Linked DNA regions of Arabidopsis thaliana. The protein of the gene in region 1 interacts with the protein of each later gene in a pairwise test. Each region holds a gene or a part of one and is shown on either strand. Other genes may lie near its edges.

Evidence for each region. Proteins that work in one complex are often made in the same cells at the same time.
Region 2: the proteins of AT3G03210 (region 1) and AT2G37050 interact in a protein complementation assay, tested with the Arabidopsis thaliana proteins (one large-scale study listed by BioGRID).

Annotation. Positions count from the first base shown.
Region 1 is NC_003074.8:734,252-746,043, reverse strand, and holds AT3G03210 (Pmr5/Cas1p GDSL/SGNH-like acyl-esterase family protein), read right to left. Parts: upstream 5,341-11,792; 5' UTR 5,058-5,340; coding exon 3,951-5,057; 3' UTR 3,735-3,950; downstream 1-3,734. Other genes in the region: AT3G03230 (alpha/beta-Hydrolases superfamily protein), read left to right, coding at 35-274, 419-630, 925-1,180, 1,273-1,566; EXPA13 (expansin A13), read left to right, coding at 2,069-2,556, 3,077-3,389; NAC045 (NAC domain containing protein 45), read left to right, coding at 7,517-7,673, 8,211-8,491, 8,585-8,866, 8,983-9,231, 9,337-9,406, 9,503-9,903; GSTF11 (glutathione S-transferase F11), read right to left, coding at 10,167-10,615, 10,706-10,754, 10,827-10,973; AT3G03180 (Got1/Sft2-like vescicle transport protein family), read right to left, coding at 11,564-11,792. UniProt on the Arabidopsis thaliana protein: Component of the plant cell wall polysaccharide acetylation pathway. Does not directly catalyze O-acetylation of xyloglucan but exhibits weak acetylesterase activity in vitro.
Region 2 is NC_003071.7:15,566,952-15,575,177, reverse strand, and holds AT2G37050 (Leucine-rich repeat protein kinase family protein), read right to left. Parts: upstream 6,253-8,226; 5' UTR 5,889-6,252; coding exon 5,810-5,888; intron 5,558-5,809; coding exon 5,020-5,557; intron 4,937-5,019; coding exon 4,431-4,936; intron 4,358-4,430; coding exon 4,225-4,357; intron 4,138-4,224; coding exon 4,066-4,137; intron 3,980-4,065; coding exon 3,911-3,979; intron 3,834-3,910; coding exon 3,762-3,833; intron 3,662-3,761; coding exon 3,596-3,661; intron 3,508-3,595; coding exon 3,344-3,507; intron 3,255-3,343; coding exon 3,010-3,254; intron 2,917-3,009; coding exon 2,790-2,916; intron 2,710-2,789; coding exon 2,641-2,709; coding exon of another isoform or gene 2,633-2,640; exon of another isoform or gene 2,566-2,632; coding exon 2,379-2,565; intron 2,280-2,378; coding exon 2,144-2,279; intron 2,043-2,143; coding exon 1,701-2,042; 3' UTR 1,429-1,700; downstream 1-1,428.

The DNA of each region.
Region 1 (11,792 bases):
TAGTCTTTTGGTTCCAAGACTTATAGGCTAAATAATGGTGCTTCTACTTGTGATTGTGGGATTAATAAGCTATTATGTCTACAAGTCCATAACACCGCCGCCACCGATTCCACTGCCGGAAAATGTTTCCGAGATATCTCCAAGAATCAAGCTCAATGATGGAAGGCATTTAGCGTACAAGGAATTAGGGTTTCCAAAGGACAAAGCCAAAAACAAAATAATAATCGTCCACGGAAATGGAAATTCCAAAGACGTCGATTTATACATCACACAGGTACACAAGGATTGAATTAAGAACGAAATAAAGAAAGAGACCGCAACTATTTTAATACTTTTTGGTGGTTTATTTGTACAATTAATGATTGTTATGTATAATGAATAATACTATTTGCAATGATAACGCTCCTCTGGCTTTCAGGAAATGATTGATGAATTCAAGATATACTTTTTGTTCTTCGATAGAGCTGGTTATGGAGAAAGCGATCCTAATCCAACACGAACGCTGAAAACAGATACATACGATATCGAAGAACTTGCTGACAAATTGCAAGTCGGTCCAAAGTTCCACGTTATAGGCATGTCACTTGGAGCTTACCCTGTTTACGGTTGCCTCAAATACATTCCTAATAGGTAAATATATCAATCGGTTATCTCTTAAGAACATTATCAAAAAATTGAAATATTATTTGTGATGGTCACTTCTCAATACTTATCAAAACAAGTTCTTACGTAAAAGACATTTGCTTTATCCATTTGTGATAAGAATTCTCTTGTTTCATCCTCATCGTTTAATTACCATAAGTCCATAAGTGACGTTATACTATAAGACCAAGTGACCGACTTAGATATTTCACTTATACAAATAAGATTATAATGTAGTGGTTTGTATATTAGCCTTAATTGTTTTTCTTATAACATCGATAGGCTCAGTGGAGCTTCGTTGGTTGTTCCGTTAGTGAATTTTTGGTGGAGCCGTGTGCCTCAAAACTTATTGAATGCAGCGATGAAGAAATTGCCAATTGGATTTCAATTGACACTTCGAGTCGCACACTACTCTCCATGGTTGTTATATTGGTGGATGACTCAGAAATGGTTCCCGAATAGTCGAAATCCCAAAGATACTATGACCGAGCGCGACCTAGAACTCGCGGAAAAGCATACCAAACACTCTTATATCAAGGTATATATATTACGAACTTTATGATCCACTCTCTTTTTTTTTTTTTTTTGAAAGAAGTAAACATTCATGCATGAATGCTATTATTACTATAGGAGTCTGCTTTACGACAAGGTGGATATGTGACCACACAACAAGACATCATAGCGGGTTACGGGAATTGGGAATTTGATCCAACCGAATTGAAGAATCCGTTTTCGGATAGTAACAAAGGGTCGGTTCATATGTGGTGTGCACTCGAAGACAAACAAATTTCACGCGATGTTTTACTCTATATATGCGATAAACTGCCATGGATAAAGCTCCATGAGGTCCCTGATGGTGGACATTATATTATCCATGAGAAGCGGCATTTTGAAGCCATTATCAAAGCCGCTTGTAGTGACTAGTGGAAGATACATTATAACAAAAAAAAACTCTAAAAGATTTGTATCTAAAATCAGTTTAAGAAAAATTATGGCTATGTAAGTTTCATGTGACAAAGAACATTATCTAACCTATTTACAATAATTTATATAAATCTGGTATGTCAGATAGTACAGTTTACAAAAAAAAAATCAAATGTCAAATTGATCCAAATGAAAAATATCATGACATACTTTTTTGAGCATGGGAGAGAGTCGGATGGAGACACATGAACGAAAGGTAAAGTTGACCCAAAATTGTTACTGAAGTCCTCACTTTGATCACGAGATTTGGGTTTTGTGATTTGGGCCTTACCCTAACCCATTTCGATTGAGGGCATTTTAGTCATTTTATATAAACCGACAAACCGGTAAAAGCAAAATGTTTTCCCACTAAAAGACTGAAAAAAACACTAAACCAAAATTAAATCATCAAAAATCAAAATCTCTAAAATCAAAAATTCGCATTTTCTCTCTCGCCGGAGAGATGCAACGGTTTCTTCTACCTTTACTCTTCCTTGCACTATCGCCGCCGGCGATTTGTCATTACTCTTCCTCAACCTCTTCACCTTCTTCGTCCTCCGTTTCTTCCGACGCCTCAGAATGGCGTCCAGCTCGAGCCACCTACTACGCCGCTACGAATCCTCGAGACGCGGTGGGCGGTGCGTGTGGATACGGAGATCTCGTCAAATCTGGGTACGGTATGGCTACTGTTGGTCTAAGCGAGACTCTGTTTGAGCGTGGTCAGATCTGTGGTGCTTGTTTCGAGCTCAGATGTGTTGATGATCTCCGTTGGTGTATCCCTGGAACTTCAATTATACTCACCGCTACGAATTTCTGTGCTCCTAATTACGGATTTGATCCCGACGGTGGTGGTCATTGTAATCCACCTAACAAACATTTCGTGCTTCCGATCGAAGCGTTTGAGAAGATCGCTATTTGGAAAGCTGGGAACATGCCGGTGCAGTATCGAAGGTGCGTTTCTCTCCGCTTTTTCCCAATTTGTTTCGCGTTTTGTTAAAAAAATGCGTTTGCGGTGGTGGGGAACGCGGTTCTGCTTTTAGACGCCACTATCGATTTAAAAAATCCGGCGATGCTTTTGCTTTTGTGTCTTCTTCGATATCCGTGTGCTTTATTATGTGAGATGGGTTTACCCTAAATCTCTTCCTCAATATGCAATTTACTTTATTGCCCCTAATCGTTTTATCTTAGTGTGTACAAGATTCTGAGAAATGGTAGATAGGTTTGCTCATCATAGTTGAGTAGCTTTGCTCTCATTTTCATCTTAGCCATGAGAGGACTGAAATTGACTGTTTCTGTGAAGTTCTAGGCACAATGCGGTAAACTACTATTTAGGTTCATGATACAATGGATCATTAGATCCTTTATTAGTTTGTGAAGTGTTTTGGAGCTGAGCCTATAAATAGTTAGTTGCATATCACTTAAGTTATGAGTTATGACTTACAACCATTTTTGTTGGCTTTTACCAAAACAGGATCAACTGTAGAAAGGAAGGGAGCATGCGGTTTACAGTCGATGGTGGAGGCATTTTCATTTCGGTTTTGATCACCAATGTTGCAGGGTCCGGTGATATAGCTGCTGTGAAGATCAAAGGGTCGAGAACCGGGTGGTTACCTATGGGTCGTAATTGGGGACAAAATTGGCATATTAATGCTGATCTCAGGAACCAAGCTCTCTCATTTGAAGTAACTTCTAGTGACAGGTCAACCGTGACATCTTACAATGTCTCCCCGAAAAACTGGAATTATGGACAGACCTTCGAAGGGAAACAATTCGAGACTCCGTGAGACAGAGACGGACACATTGAGATACAATCCCATGATTCTTTTTTTCCGGGTCAGAATTTTTTGATGGCAAGTATATCGATCTTGGTCTAAGGTTATCTTTAGGGTTGAAAAGGAAAGAACTTGGGTCAGACTTTTGCATTTCATAGTTCTCTCTCTCCCACGCATAGGTACAAAAACTCACCAATGTACTAAGAACAGTGATCACACAAACATCACTATTGTATCTATTTGTTTACATTACTAAGGAGCGAAAGCTTCCTTCAAGTGCTTAAAGCTAATGATGAGTACTGAGTCTTATCGTAAAAAGAATCCAAAAGGGTACTGTGATATAACAAGAATCAGAATAGCTAAAGGTTATAACTTCTCAAAGTCAAAAGATATTAAACCTATTATAGCCATGAATGTAAGTTCACTTACTTCTCCAATGTGAAGATCACTCAGGCCAAAAGGATCACCGTGTGTTGTAAAATTCCTATGAACATCCCACTTCTCTTAAAACTCTACAAGAGAACCCCAAACAAAATAAAAGGAAAAAAAACAAAAAAAAAACGTGTCAAGAACTCATAAAGATTGATGAGATTCAATAAGCAACGCATTGAGCATGACATGGACAGCGGCATCATAGACCGCAGAGTCATAATGCATCCCGTCAAGTGTACATTGCGGTCCACAGTTCCAGGTAAACGACTGGATATCAAGCAAGATAAGAGGACCACCCATTTGACGTAAGATCTTACTCTCCCCGAGTGATCTATCATACTCATGCCACACCGTATCACTCATCTTCTCCTTCTTCTCATCCGTATTCAACATCCCGTTGATCAAAACCGGCATCCCAATCCAGAACAGATGCACAGATCTACCGGAGACCGACCCACCTCCTTCTTGCTCCTTTGGCGTAAGGGGCACTAGAGACTCCACATGACTACTCAATTGCCTCAACCTAAAACCAAAATCTGAAGCATTGTTCACATGAAGCATATGCCATAACCCAGTTCCCATGATCACAACATCAGGATACTTTTTCATCTTCTTATAAGATACCACAAGATCATCCAAATCTTTCTCATAAGGAGCCCAAACAAAATCAAGCTTCATCCCAATCTCCTTAACCACAATGCTGTAATCACTATGTCTCCTAAACAAATCCCCTCTAACCGAATCCATAGCCTTGGAATCCGAACCCAAAACAAGATTCAACAAAGACAAAGCCACGAATCTCGCCTGAGAATCACCAGCAACAACAACCCACGATCCATTCAACAAATCCGAAACATCGAACTTATCCAATTTCTGAAACTCACAACTCAAAACTTTCCTCGATTTCATCCAATCCCAGTTCTTCACGAAATAATCAAGCTTTGTTGAGCCATTGTTCCTACGAACAGACTCCGGATTCGGTACCGGTTTAACATCCCAGACAATCTGATTAACCTCGTTGATACAAGAGATACGATGATCGTAGACAACAACAGAGGAAACAGAGGCAACGATGTCGGAAACGGAAGGGAAATAAGGCGTGAGATGAACACAAACCGCGAGAGAAATAAACAAAGCGCCACTAAAGAAGAGCATCTTGTTCCTGCTCAGATGCCAACCAGCCATTGCCATGGGAACGAAGAGGACGAAACAAGCTGCTAATACTCCCAAATGAATCGCTCCTAGCATCTCTCAGACTCAGATTTCGGAATCAGACACATCTAGATTTCCATCTAGACAAAACCAATTTCATCCAGATTCGAATTAACTCTTTTTCTCTATAATTTAAGAAGAAGCTAGGGTTACGGATTTGGTTCGGTGAAGAGAATCTATCAAAATTGAAGGTGAAGATGAAAATTTGGTGAGATTGAAAGGAACAGAACAACCGTAGGCTTCTTCTTCTTTGGTTCGATTTTTTGTATTTAAAATTTTCCATATTTGTAAGATCTCCATTAATTTATGATCTCATCTCTCTGACTCTCAGACATGGTTCGGCTCACTTTAGCCTCATTATGGAACTGGGAACTATTCTAACGTGCGCTCACCGCTGGGAATCACGTGACCGCTTTTAGATTAATCATAAGTTCCTCGGCCCACGGTCAAGCCCATTTATTCACGTGACCGCTTGTAGATTGATCATAAGTTACTCGGCCCACGGGAAAGCCCATTTAGCCCACATCGTTCAACAAATCAATGACACTTTCCTTATGTGTATTTTCATACGTACGATTTCATCTTGGAATGACATTAAATTCTGTAGATCCGCGTTTTCATCATATAATAAATGGAGAAAAAATCATTATAATCATTTAGACTTCTTTTTTTATAGCTAAAGTTACATGTAATTTCGTGATTTTTCTTCACGGTCTTAAGTCTTGGGGATCTTGTAGACTCCGAAATTTCATAATAGTTTCAACCGATTTTTACATATTAACTTTTAATTTATTACTTTCTCATTCTAACCAAATTTATATATTTTTGCCAATGAGGCAATGACCCAATCTAATGGTGGGGCTAATCATAGGACTAATATGTTATTAGTTTATAGAATGTGTGTGAACGTTAAAAAGAATTAAGTAAAGAACCAAAAGATGGATTCATGTGAGGGAAATGTCTCAAGAAGGGTATGTACTATGTACACATTGTAGATATATTAAAGATATATATATATGTGTATATATATGGTGATACAAAGAAGAAAGAGAATATGGAATTTGGAATAATGAGAGAAAAAGGTTATGACGATGATGAGAAAGGCTGAGAAGTGATTCTCTTGGGTTGGCCCATCAATAGCTTCCAAGGATTTATTCACATGTTCACAACTGCTGGATCCCACATGATCATACATATAACCATCTCAAAACCATATGCTTGTTCAAATTTTATATATATATATATATATATATATATATATCTGATCGATTTCATTTTTCCAAATTTTAGATAAGTTTTTTTTTGATAAATCAACTTTAGATAAGTTTTATAGTCGCCTACACCAAATGTGACTGTATGTTCATATGATTATATATAGCTTTCGAGTTTCGACCAAAATGATAAATACTCAAACTATAATTTCTTATATCCATAAGTCTTTGGAGTACGTAATTGGACTTTCGGTCAATAGTTTTTCTATATTGGAACAAAAGTTTTGGTATTTTATATGACGACACTAAATATGGAGAGGAAAGGATTTCTGGCCACTCAATTTTTTAATTTTTGTTTCAAAATCTCCGAAATTTCAATTTTTTTTCCCGAATCACACAACCTTACATTAACAGCCTAATACACTAGAAAATATATGAGCATTAACTGATGGAACGACCATAAAATGGAGTTCATCTTTCTATTCGATATACGATATACAATATGAATATGAGAAACAGAAATAGACATATATAAATGACAAAATAAAATGTAAAACACTACTAGTATAAATTTACAACATCAAGATATCTATTTTTAAAAAAGATCTATGTACGTAGATCGGATGGCAATGTGAAGGGAAACAAAGGATTCGCATGCAAGTGGGTACAAAAGAGACAGTTATTTCAGTTAGAAGTGCCGCCAAATAACAAAAAAAAAAAAGAAAAAAAAGAAAGAGAGATTGCAACAGTTTTGGGTTAACCCAAGATTCGATCTCCCATGCAACCAATAGAAATCTGACAAGTGCACATATATTCCAGACCGACCACTCTCGGAGAAGCATGGGATAATATAATTGATGAAGAAACACGGTTTACATTTAGGGCGGCAATTTTTGATTAATTATTCCGGTTAAGTACCAGAATCTACACGTGATCATGTTATTTGTTAGCATTTTAATTATCTATCAATATAAAAAAAACACTTCGAACAATATTATATATGCGTCGGACAGAAATTGATGAATTGTAAATATTAATTAAATTTTGAATTTTTTTAACATTATATGTTATTTTGGGATGGGGACCTTCCCTTTATTCACTTTTGCATCTCCCTTTTTCATTACCTCTTTATATATAACCTTGCTCTCCAAGCCCTCAACGAACACAAAACATATACCTATTCTATAATCTCTTCTTCTTCCTCTCGAGTCTCGATTCTCTCTCTTTCTTTCTTTGAAATTGATTCAAACAAAATAACTTCAAGAACAACTTGAGATTATATATATGGCTCCTGTCTCGTTACCTCCAGGTTTCCGATTCCATCCAACAGACGAGGAACTAATTACTTACTATCTAAAAAGAAAGATCAACGGTCTAGAAATCGAACTTGAAGTTATCGCTGAAGTTGATCTTTACAAGTGTGAGCCATGGGACTTACCAGGTAATATTAATTTGACGTTTCCCTTGTTTATGCATGAGATCCACTTAATCAAATATGATTTAAATTTTTTGAAAAATATGATTTCTGATCAACATTAATTACGCGATTCTACTTTAGTTATCAAATTCTGCATATATTATTCATTTATATGGATTTAAATTACAACATCTGTAATCGTTAAGAATTATTATTATTTGTCTAAAACCCATAGGAACAAGAGAGATTGAAGAAAAGAATAAGAATATAGCATTGATGAAGAAACCCTAAATATACTTTAGTCTCTACCGGGAAAATACCACATGTGCAATTACACATACTAGTTCTGTAAATAACTATTTTATTATTTTTTTCATCATTTTCACCAAATCTTTTAGGAATTAAAATGTCAAAATAATTTTTAAAAATGTTTAAATATAAAATTGTAACTCATGAAAACATGAATGCCAGCTTAATTGAATCATAATTTTAATTTACGTCATCCAATATCTGCTGATAAATTACGTTACTTAAAGTAATCAATTATGAATTCAATAATAGGGAAGTCCTTGCTTCCGAGCAAAGACCAAGAATGGTACTTCTTCAGCCCACGAGACCGGAAGTATCCCAACGGCTCAAGGACAAACCGGGCAACTAAAGGCGGTTATTGGAAGGCTACAGGTAAAGACCGCCGAGTTAGTTGGAGAGACCGAGCCATAGGAACCAAGAAGACATTGGTTTACTACCGTGGGCGCGCGCCACATGGCATAAGAACTGGTTGGGTCATGCACGAATATCGACTTGATGAAACAGAATGTGAGCCTTCTGCATACGGCATGCAGGTTCGTTGCTAACTAACTGGATTCGACTACAATCATTTTAATATTGTACATAGCATTAGGAAAAACCATCTAAATTGAATTTTATATTTGTAGGACGCATATGCACTTTGTCGTGTGTTCAAAAAGATTGTTATTGAAGCTAAGCCAAGAGATCAACATCGGTCATATGTCCACGCGATGTCGAATGTGAGTGGTAATTGCTCATCGAGTTTTGACACTTGTTCGGATCTCGAAATCAGTTCAACTACTCATCAAGTTCAAAACACATTCCAACCGCGATTTGGCAACGAGCGATTTAACTCCAACGCAATCAGCAACGAGGATTGGTCACAATACTACGGTTCTTCTTATAGACCGTTCCCTACTCCATATAAGGTATAGCTAATATTTCAAAGTTTTAAAATCCATCATTGATTACCCTATAAAGTTTGATACATGACCATCGACATATAACATATTTTTAATAATGGGTTTTCTATATTTTCATTCAGGTTAACACAGAGATCGAATGTTCAATGTTACAACACAATATATATCTACCACCGTTGCGTGTAGAGAACTCTGCGTTTAGTGATTCCGATTTCTTCACGAGTATGACTCACAACAACGACCATGGCGTTTTCGATGACTTTACTTTTGCTGCAAGTAACTCCAACCACAATAATAGCGTTGGTGATCAAGTGATCCACGTTGGCAATTATGATGAACAATTAATAACATCTAACCGTCATATGAACCAGGTATGCATATCAGACTATTGAAATAATATATGCTGTATGTTTTATATACCATTTATATATAATTTTAAACCTAACATATAGAATTATATTTATGCATTTGAAAAGACTGGTTATATAAAAGAGCAGAAGATCAGATCGAGTTTGGATAATACTGACGAAGATCCAGGATTTCATGGTGAGTATATATATATAATTTGGGTTCAAATTCAAGATTGTTATGATCGATGCTCTTCCTATATCTAACGATAATTACAAATTGTTTAATTTACAGGTAACAATACCAATGACAACATAGATATCGATGATTTTCTCTCGTTTGATATATATAACGAGGACAACGTGAATCAAATAGAAGATAATGAAGACGTGAATACAAATGAAACCCTTGATTCATCGGGATTCGAGGTGGTTGAAGAAGAAACTAGATTTAACAACCAAATGCTCATCTCGACATATCAAACGACAAAGATTCTATATCACCAAGTCGTACCTTGTCACACGTTGAAAGTTCACGTCAATCCTATTAGTCACAATGTGGAAGAGAGAACATTGTTCATTGAAGAGGACAAAGATTCTTGGTTACAAAGAGCTGAGAAGATCACGAAGACAAAACTAACACTTTTTAGTTTAATGGCTCAGCAATACTACAAATGTCTTGCTATTTTTTTCTGATTCTTTTCTTTTTAAATTTGTTGATTTATTTATCCCTTTTTGATAAAAGGGCATTTACTTAGACACATATATGTATGTATACTAATATTTACATTTAACTGTTGTACTTCTTACTGTTAAAAAATATTTCTTATACCTATAACAACAATAAATTAGACGATCCAAATTTAAATTAGTATATCATCAAATATTTGAATGGAGTACAAGCGTCAAGCGGCTTGACTCAAGCCATTAACGGAGGACTACAAGAACTACTAGACAAATTAATAGGCAGCCAATTCCATGAGCTTCTTCCAAGCCGGTCTAGCCGAAATCTCATTCCACCACCGGTTGAGATTCTCTCGAGACGTAACCAAACCACTCAAACTGGTTTCATTCATGATATATCTCATACCGGGCATATGACTCAAATCAGCTAATGTGAATTCATCACCGCCCAAGTACCGGTTCGTAGCTAACCGGTTCTCATACACATCCAGGACCTTGTCGAACTTGACCTTTAGCTCCTCAACCAAAGCGACGTCGCATGGCTTACCAGACTTGGGCTTAAAGACGACGTTCATAACTAAGGGTAGAGCCACAGCGTAGAAATAGTTATTCTCAACTTCCACCCACTGGTCCACAATGGCTCGTCCCTCCAAAGTCTTGCCCAATAGGTCCGTTCCTTGGTCCGCATACTTTGTCGCGTAGTACCTCGCTATGGCTCGCGATTCTTGAAACCATAAATCGAACATATAAATAGCTTTTCTACATGTAGTCATTTAAGAGAAAAAGCAGCAAAATATTTGAGAATGTATCTTACCAAAAAGCTTCAGATATCCATCTTCAATAGCTGGAACTTGACCAAACGGCTAATACAAGTATACAACGTAATGAATAACACGTTTTCTGTGATAATACTGAAAATATTGTGACTTATATACCTGACGAAGAAGATGTTGTGGTTTTTTCTGTTCAAGTTTATCGAGATCGACATGAATTACTTCAAACTCGATGTCTTTTTCCAAAAAGCAGAGCAATACTCTTTGTGGATTAGCTGCTTTTATCTGCCCATATACTTTGACCACCATTTTCTGATTATATGTTTATACGTAACTATTGATATGAAATTGTAAATACCGACATGAATGTGGATGTATGCATTTATAGGCCACAAAAGTTATAAAATGTTTATGAGTGCCTTTGTCTGCTGTGGATATTAATCAGTGGTCATTTTTTTTTTTTTTTTCAAATCCGTTGGACCTTTGAGTAGGTGAGATCATGAAACGTGCTTTTAGCATGGAATTCTTGATTTTTAAAATGTTTTTTGTTGTTGTTCTAATTAAAATTGTGAATAATAACGTTTACAAGAGCTGTGAATTATTTTTCACTATAGTACTGGAGATGTGTACAGTAGACGAACCAACATTTAATTACAGTTAACTTATAATAAGTGTCGATGTGAAACAAACTTTGAAGGTTACTTTGCGTATATATTTTGGCATTCATGAATGTTTCTGATTGCTCTAATTTGCTAAATCAGGTTTCTAATTACATATATGTAAAATTTTGTAAATTTAAAATAAAATACAAAAGGTATTTGTTTTTGTACAGTCCAATTATGTCAAATATGATACAAGAGACTAGAGAGTGTTAAGAACTCTAAATGCCATGTTAAGCTTCATAATTGGATAGTGGTCAATTCGCACACAAAAAGAAAGAAAGAAAGGCAAAGAAGGTTTAGACAGGGACACGCCTTCCACGGTAGCGATCCAGCAACTGATTCAGTGACCAATATATATAGTTGGTAAAAGTTTGATTGGATAAGGCAAATAAGTCTAAATAGTAAAACAGAGAGAAGTTGCAATGAATGTACCGATCTGATGTATGGTTGCTGCAAAAGCCAGCCT
Region 2 (8,226 bases), on another chromosome or scaffold:
AATTTATTATTAAACTTTAAACATTGATTTTTTTTATATGTATAATATTTTTTAAAAATATTAAAGCATATTTTTCGCCTATGACATCAAAATTAGCACGGCTCTAGACACCAGTAGCAAAATAGGCATATGCACCGAATCAAAGTATCAGCTCTGCTCTTATGTTACCTCATGTTTCTTCTTCCGCTCAATGAAAACAACTACAGATCGCGAGGCGGATTATAGCGGATTCGGCCGATAGGCTTCCCTCCTTGTAATATGTATGTCGGCCATCCTGTGGTTTCAAGGTTCTCGGGAGCAGCCTCAGTAGTCTCTACGAAGAGATTATTGTAACCTGCGGAAGCTGAAGATACAAGACACTGGATGAAGTCAATATCACCTTCGATGTTGTTAGAGATGAGGATAATATTGGATTCTGTAGGATAGTCCACAGGAGTGTCCATTTCCCACAAAAGAACGTCTACATGTATGACATATGGAAGAAAGAGATCTTACTGGAGAAATCTTCACTCATGGTTTCGACTGAGATCACGATATAGAATTGGGAGAGAAGAAAAGAAAAACATAGAGCAAAACGGAGAACGCGTGCATAAACAAAGATAAAATAAAAAATAGATCACGCAGTAATATTGTCGACACCTTGTGAGCTTACGCTTTGGTCCATAGGCGGCTTTCCTCCATCTAATAGGCTTGTACAATCAGATACTGAGCTTGAAGTAGGAAACACCTTTTCTGTATCATGAGGCTGTACCAAGAGAACATTGGACTCCACTTTCTCAGTATCAGTATCATGTACCAAGAGACCATTGGACTCCACTTTCTCAGTATCAGTATCCTGTACCAAGAGAACATTGGACTCTTCTTTCTCAGTATCTGTATAGTCAGTATCAGTTTCCCAGCTAGTACAAGAAGAAGTATAGTCAACAATTTCTTCTATAGGCTTTTCTCCATTTAAAAACCTTGTACATTCAGATATGGACTCTGGAGTATGAAATAGCTTTTCTAATGGGGCCTCATCATCAGGCTGTACCAAGAGAACATTGATCAAACTTCTCGATTCCAAAGCCCAAAGAACCCTGATCGGCCTCCTTGTTTTCAAGGTTTTTTTTTTGAGATTACCAACATATTTTTTGGCTTATAAGCACTGAGAAAAACATCCCATATCATTAAATCAATGTTTTAAAAAAAATATAGTTATAGATTATAGTGTTTAAATTCATGTTCTATAATTTTAGCGTAAATTTTTTAGAATAACATGTATTTATCAGAATTATGTTTTCAAAACGTAAAATAAAAGTGTACACCATTCAAGCCCTTTATTAACCTACTGTATCATGAGAAGTAACTCGTGGGTTTGGTTTGACCACTACTAACACAACTGCGCCTGAATCTCGAATGTGTCAATAACCTATAGAACTTATTTCTACGAGAGCATAAACATCATCCTATATAATCAGTTGAAAATGTGAAAATCAGTTAAAAGAAAACATAATATATCACAATCCCACATAAATCACCGAGTTAGTCTGAAAACAATAAAAGAAAAACAAACAAACTCGAAGCACTTCTTGTAACCTCGAGTCCAAAAGAAAGAAAAAAAAGTAGTGTTAAGCTCAAAACTAATAACTAAAGACCAGAGACAATGTGAAAGGTCAAAAACACAAGCAAGTAATGCATCTGTACAAACAAAGCCGAATCTACTACCGAGCTGTTGGCTGCAATACTGATTCATCAATGGATACATAACTCTGTGATCCAGCCAGGTCAAGCATTCCCATGTTGAGCGAAGACGAATGAGCCGAGCTCCTGGAAAACTCGTCTGATATACCGCCTCTTGCAGCCAACGCTTCCTTCTCGATCCTAATCGCGTCTTGGATATCTTTTTGCACCTCGGACATCGAAGGTCTCATGTTCCCGTGCGGTTTCACACACAGCAACGCTTTCTCCGCAATCTTCCACATTGATTGGAGACTGTAATCATCTTCCGCTAGCGCTGGATCGATGATCCCTCGGATGTCCCCGTTGTCTATATGCATCTTAGCCTACAAAAACCGTTACCAAGCGATAATTTATAAACCGTTATGATTCCATATTACATATATCCAAACAAAGCGTAACCACACAAAAAAAAAGTTGAACTAACCCATTGGACTATGTTCCGGCAGTTGACACCAAAGCTTTCATTCGATATGGCTTCTTGGCCAGACATTAGCTCAAGAAGAATGACTCCGAAGCTATATACATCACTCTTCTCTGTTAACTGCTGCGATATATAGTACCTTTAACATCGAATAAAGAAAATATGTGAGTTCTTGATATTATGCTAGTTTTGGTGAATCTATCTGAAGTTCTTGGTATTAGTTTAAGTCTTAGCTTACTCGGGGTCAAGATATCCAACTGTGCCACGGACAATGCTGGAGACATGTGAGGTCCCGTCAACTGCGAATTTCGACAAACCGAAATCTGAAACCTTTGCCCTCATGTGTTTGTCAAGTAGGATGTTACTAGTCTTGAGATCTCTATGTATGATTGCTGGAACACACCCTGTGTGAAGATACTCGATCCCTACAGAAACAATCAAAACCAACAAAATCAAATATCGAAAAAATGGCTTTCTGTTTTGTTGTACAATTCACGGACCTCGGGCTGCATCTTCAGCTATCTCAAGCCTTTTAATCCAACTGATTCTCCGGTCACGTGGTACCACGCCTGAAAATAAATCCACTTGTTATCATAATGTTAAGCCAAAAGGCTGAAATATACCATCCTATCATAAAAAGATATGTTACCATAAAGATGCTCCTTCAAAGTCCCATTGTGCATGAACTCATACACAAGCATGTTTTTTCCCTCTTCTTGGCAATAACCAAGAAACTGCACAAGGTTCCGATGATGTATCCTTGAGAGTAATGTAACCTGAAAAAACCATAATCACTTGTGTTACTTCCTAAGCAAAATAAAATAAAACTAGATACTTAGGCACATGGTTTTAGACTAAGGCAGATTTACCTCGTTTGCAAACTCTCTCTTTCCCTGATATGAATTATTTGCAAGAACCTTTACAGCAATCTCTTTCCCCTCCCTTGTTTTACCATAGTATACGATTCCAAAACCTCCCGACCCAATTCTCTTTTCGAATTTTTTTGTGGCTTCCTCGATCTCATAAAGTGTGAAGCAATGTGCAGCGTCTCCATGAGCTTCACTCAAGGTAGACGAAACTCTCTGAATCGGTAAGGGACGATTCGTTAACTCTGCTGAAATAAACCCAAGAAAAAAGGTAAGCATATTCATTCAAAATCAAGATACACTATGAAACCGGTATACTTGAAGAAATATAACATACCCGAAGTTTTTCCCAACTTGTTATTCTTCTTGCTTTTGCACATGACGATGCAAGAAATGATGGTTGCAATTAGCAGAACAAAAGCACCAACTGATGCACCGATGATGACACCGAGCTTCTTGCCTTTATCTCCACTTTTTTCAAGGTTAAGGTTCCCAGAGAAGCTGAAGGAAGAAGAATACATGTGTTACTGAGAAGATCTAGCTAGGAACTATTCATGCAAAAGCAGTTTAAATCCGACAATATACTTACTTTGAGATCACATCTTTGGCCAGGTCTGATGGTATTGTTCCTGTTAACACATTGTTCTGCAGGTACCTGCAATCATAAAGCAGGTTGGGTGCATAAGAATGTAGATTAAAAGGTCATCCCCACCACACAAATTAATATATCAAACTATCCTTTAAAAAAAGCATACAGTTCTTTCAGGTTTGGGAGTTTCGTCAACGAGGAAGGGATCTTTCCGGTTAGTCGGTTGTTCTCGAGGTGTCTGCCACAGTCCATTATATATTTATAGTTAGATGAAGGCAAGAAAAAATATATAAACTCCAAAGAAAGTGATTTTACATTATCTCCAGGTTTGGACACCGAGAGAAATCCGGTATTGGACCCGTAAAAGAATTCCCATCAAGCCATCTGCCATTGACAAAAGTTGCAACATCAGTAAAGAGAATATCTCTATATAATCCCAAATTCAAAAGTCTAAGAAATAAGTAACTTACAACTCAACCAAACCAGTCAATTTCACCAGGTCAGAAGGTATATTTCCCGTCAAGTTCATACTCGACAGCTTGCTGCAGAAAGAATGAAGCATAACATAGTTGAAATATGCAGACAAAAAGACATATTGCAAATAAAGGTACTAAGATAGACTTCCTTACATAGCAACAACCCTTGGTTGTGGATCCGAATTGCATTGCACCCATGACCACGGTGAGGGTGAACAAGGGTCACCGCCTTCTTGAGCCCATTCAGTGGAAGAATATAGCGATGCCACATTAGCCATAACAGTTGCTGCAATACAAGCAATCATCTTAGAATCAAATGTGAGGCCACAACACTAAGAGGAGGGGCTAGTTGTACTCACCATCTACTGAACCATCGCTTTTCCGCAAATATTTGCTGATCTCCATGGCATTCAGAATAGGTCCCCTAGAAGAATCAGCCGTTTTGGCAAATCGAAAGTTTAGCACAAATGGAAGTGTTATGTTAGGATAGCCAGGTGCATAAACGCGATACGGTCTCTGTGTATTTTCCTTGATGTTAACAACCGATTTGCTATACTCAGGCTGCTCAGGTAGAACTAATCTAAACTTCCTTGACTCATCCTCAGCCAAATCCTCGATTTCAGCAAAGTATGTGAATGCCCAACCAAAACCAGGGAAGCCATCTAGGTTCATTCTGTAAGTTAAGGACCCGTTTGTTCCAACCACAGCCGTCTGCATAACCTTCTGAGGCGGTCTGTCATCGACCCTGCTTTCGATTGGCAATGTAGTCGACACTCGCACAGTCCCAGCAGCAACATCCACAAGATAATTAGGCTTCTTTTGCAAATCAGATTCCCATATTCTATCATACGGATCATCCGGGTACCTGCAATACCAACTCATTTCCTTAACTCATCCTGATAAATCACAATGCTGAAACAACAAACAGATTATGAACTGTATACTGACCTCACAGAAGCTTCACTTTCAGCCCCGAAATTTATCCGTGCTGCAACACTCAGGTAAAACCGGTCTTCAGATAGCATCGAACCATACATCGAACCACTCAACTGCCTAAGCTCAAGAGTAGATATAAACGGCTGTCCAGTTGTGGCATTTGACAAACAAACACTAACAGTAGGAGAAGAAGCCAGAAACACCAGTTCTGCAGTTTCGATTATATAGGTTTCAGAGATAACAATGGTCGCCCAATGAGTCGCCCCGAGGGAGATATCGAATTTGGGATACACATTGTTGCTGTTGTCGAAATTACCATACAAGAAAGTAGCTCTAATGAGATATCTATTCCTACTCGTGACATTGAGAGTGTAGCAATACTTTCTTGAATCAGCAGGGAAATGCCTTAAAGTCGTGTACTGAGTTCTTGTTTCGTTAACGGACGATATATTAGCGGTTTCTCCATAAATGAGATGATTATCAGGTGACCATTTGAGTCCAAGTTCATCAGTGAATGGCTCTGCACCTCCACAATCCAAGCTCACAAAACCTGCCTTACCCAAAAAAAAAAAAAAGTTTGATTCTTTGTGTTACCATTCCCTTTTTCCCTACTTCAATCTAACTAAACAAACATATATGAGCATAACTACACACAAATCTCAAACACCACCAGCTCTTGAGATTTGTTAACAAAAGCCTAAACTTTCAAAAATCCTTGTTACTACTACATCACATAAAAATAGAATCTTTCCAACTATTTCAACAAGGAAACATCAAAAAGTACTCAGAAGCAGTCAATTACCTGGAGCTTGTGCTGATGAAGAAGTGAAGAGACAAGTTGAAACCAGTAAACACAACAAAAGCAGTGAGATTCTCACCATCTCCAGCTCAGACCAAACAAACACTTCACACAAGTTTAACGCATAAATGGCGTTACAAAATAAAGGAACCAAAAAAAGCTAAATGTGATCCCAAAAAAGTGAAAAAAGTGAAATTTCCAGAAACAGAACCAAACAGACCCTAAAATTACTTATCTTTACTATCAAGAGAGATCTAAAGACCCATAAATGGTTTAACCAAACCCAAAAACCCAAAAAGATAATAAAAATCAAAAAATTGGGGAACGTGAGGAGATATGAGTGTGTTTCTTCCTCGTTAAGTGTTTGCTTTTTTTATGTGAGAGAGGAACAGCTTCAAAGCCAGTGGAGGTAAGTGGTAAAGGTACAATTGTTGGGTCCATCTTCCTAGCCTGGACTCTACGTACATCTAACGGTTCAATTGCTTTACCTTTAAACTCAATGGTCCAGATTCGTTGTGTTCCACCTTTAACGTGTTGTAGTGAATTCCACCACCAAGCAGTCTCCAGCGAAACGGTGTCATTTTAATATATTTCTTTTTCTTTTTGTTCAACATTTTTAATATATTTCCGGATTTGAATAAATGACATTCTCTGCCTCTAAGAATATTTAAGAGCTACATCCACATGTTTATTGTTTTATGGGAAATTAATAAATAATATTTTTTTCATCCAGATTAGATCATTTCAATATAGGGAAGTGATTAAAGTTTGTATGAATTTTGTTTTTTAGTGATCAAAGTTCTCTTGTTGATATACTTTTAAAACTAAAATAAACAGGTTACCTTATTAAACAATGAATTCAGGTATGAAATTTGTAAATTGATGATCACGATAATTTTCCTTAATTATCTAATTCTAAGATAGTCTAACCATGAATATTCTTATAATATCTTAACTGTATAGGAGATTCTATTTTCATCCCTAAATTATATTCGTAATTTTATTCGGATATACTTGCTTTTATTTTCGTCAACAGATATATATATATATATATATATATATTATTTATTTTTAATTTTCATTAAAATTAGTGATTTAATTCTCTATTATTTGTGTACTATATAAAACAAACAAATGAATCTTATAATGTTTGCTTTTTCGTCCATAAATATTTCCGGGAAAAATCGTTAGATATAAATCGAACCTAGTGGTGAGTGACTCACACACATGTGACAATTCCCAAAATAAGTCCCCCACGTACGCTATGTCTGTTTTAGTGTGCATGTAGTAACTATTATTTACTGATTTAGAATATAACTAGCATTTGGCCCCTATTTAGGGATAACATTGTTTTAGATTATATCTGTTACAACTTTTAACTAAAAATTTTAAAATAAAGCAGACAGTATTAATATACAACAAATTTATTATCATTGATCGAAGAATATACAAAGATTAAGAAAAAGATATAAAGAAGGTACAACTTTTCTACCCAATGAATCAATTGCGATAGGCAATAACTAACAAATCAAGAGTTTAGAAATATAAGAGAGTATAAGTACGAAAATTATGCTGGGTATATACATGTCCGCTTATTTCATCATTAGCTCCAACCAATTGTAATGTGTTCTTCTTCTCATCATCAGTAATTCAGTTTACAAACATTCGTTGACACCCAAAGCTTGGAAGTCTAAAAAAAAATGTAAAATGTGCACAAATAAGTAACTACATGACGCAGACGCTGCCTTTGAAACAATATCAAAGATATTGCAGATATAAAGAAGTAAAATAAGAGATGACTTTAAAATTGAAGTATTTGTATTAATACAAAAATCTTGCGTGAAAATACAATTGCAGTTTAATACAAAAAAGAAATTGCAGATATAAAGAAGTAAAATAAGAGATGAAAGAAGAATAGTAAAAAGTATGAGAATTAATTTACCATCAAAAAAACACTTGAGCTTCGATTAAGATATTAAACTCACCCTTGTTTTAAGGCAACTGTTCAGATGAGAAGCCAAAATTTGTCGTTGTTCCTTGAGTGTTTGTGAGACGGGAGAATCATAGGCATTGATTGTATTAAAGAATAATCCTATGGAAAAATGGAGATGTATGAGAGAAATCGAATTCAGTCAAATAAAGCAGAAACAAAGCAAAAAAAAAAAAAAACCATAGAAATCTAGAAGAAGGATATATGATTTTCGGATCTATGGAAAATTTCTATATATATAAAACAAAATTACAAACAGAAATAGAAGATGGTAAATTGGTTCATTGAGATGAACAAAGTACCTGATTTCTGAGTAATCGATTAATGATGTTGAGAAACCCATTTTTGAGATTTTACACAGTAGTCATGGAGTTTTTGGAAGAGAGAAAGTGGAGATGTGGAGATCGTGGGGATGAAAGAGAAAATCATT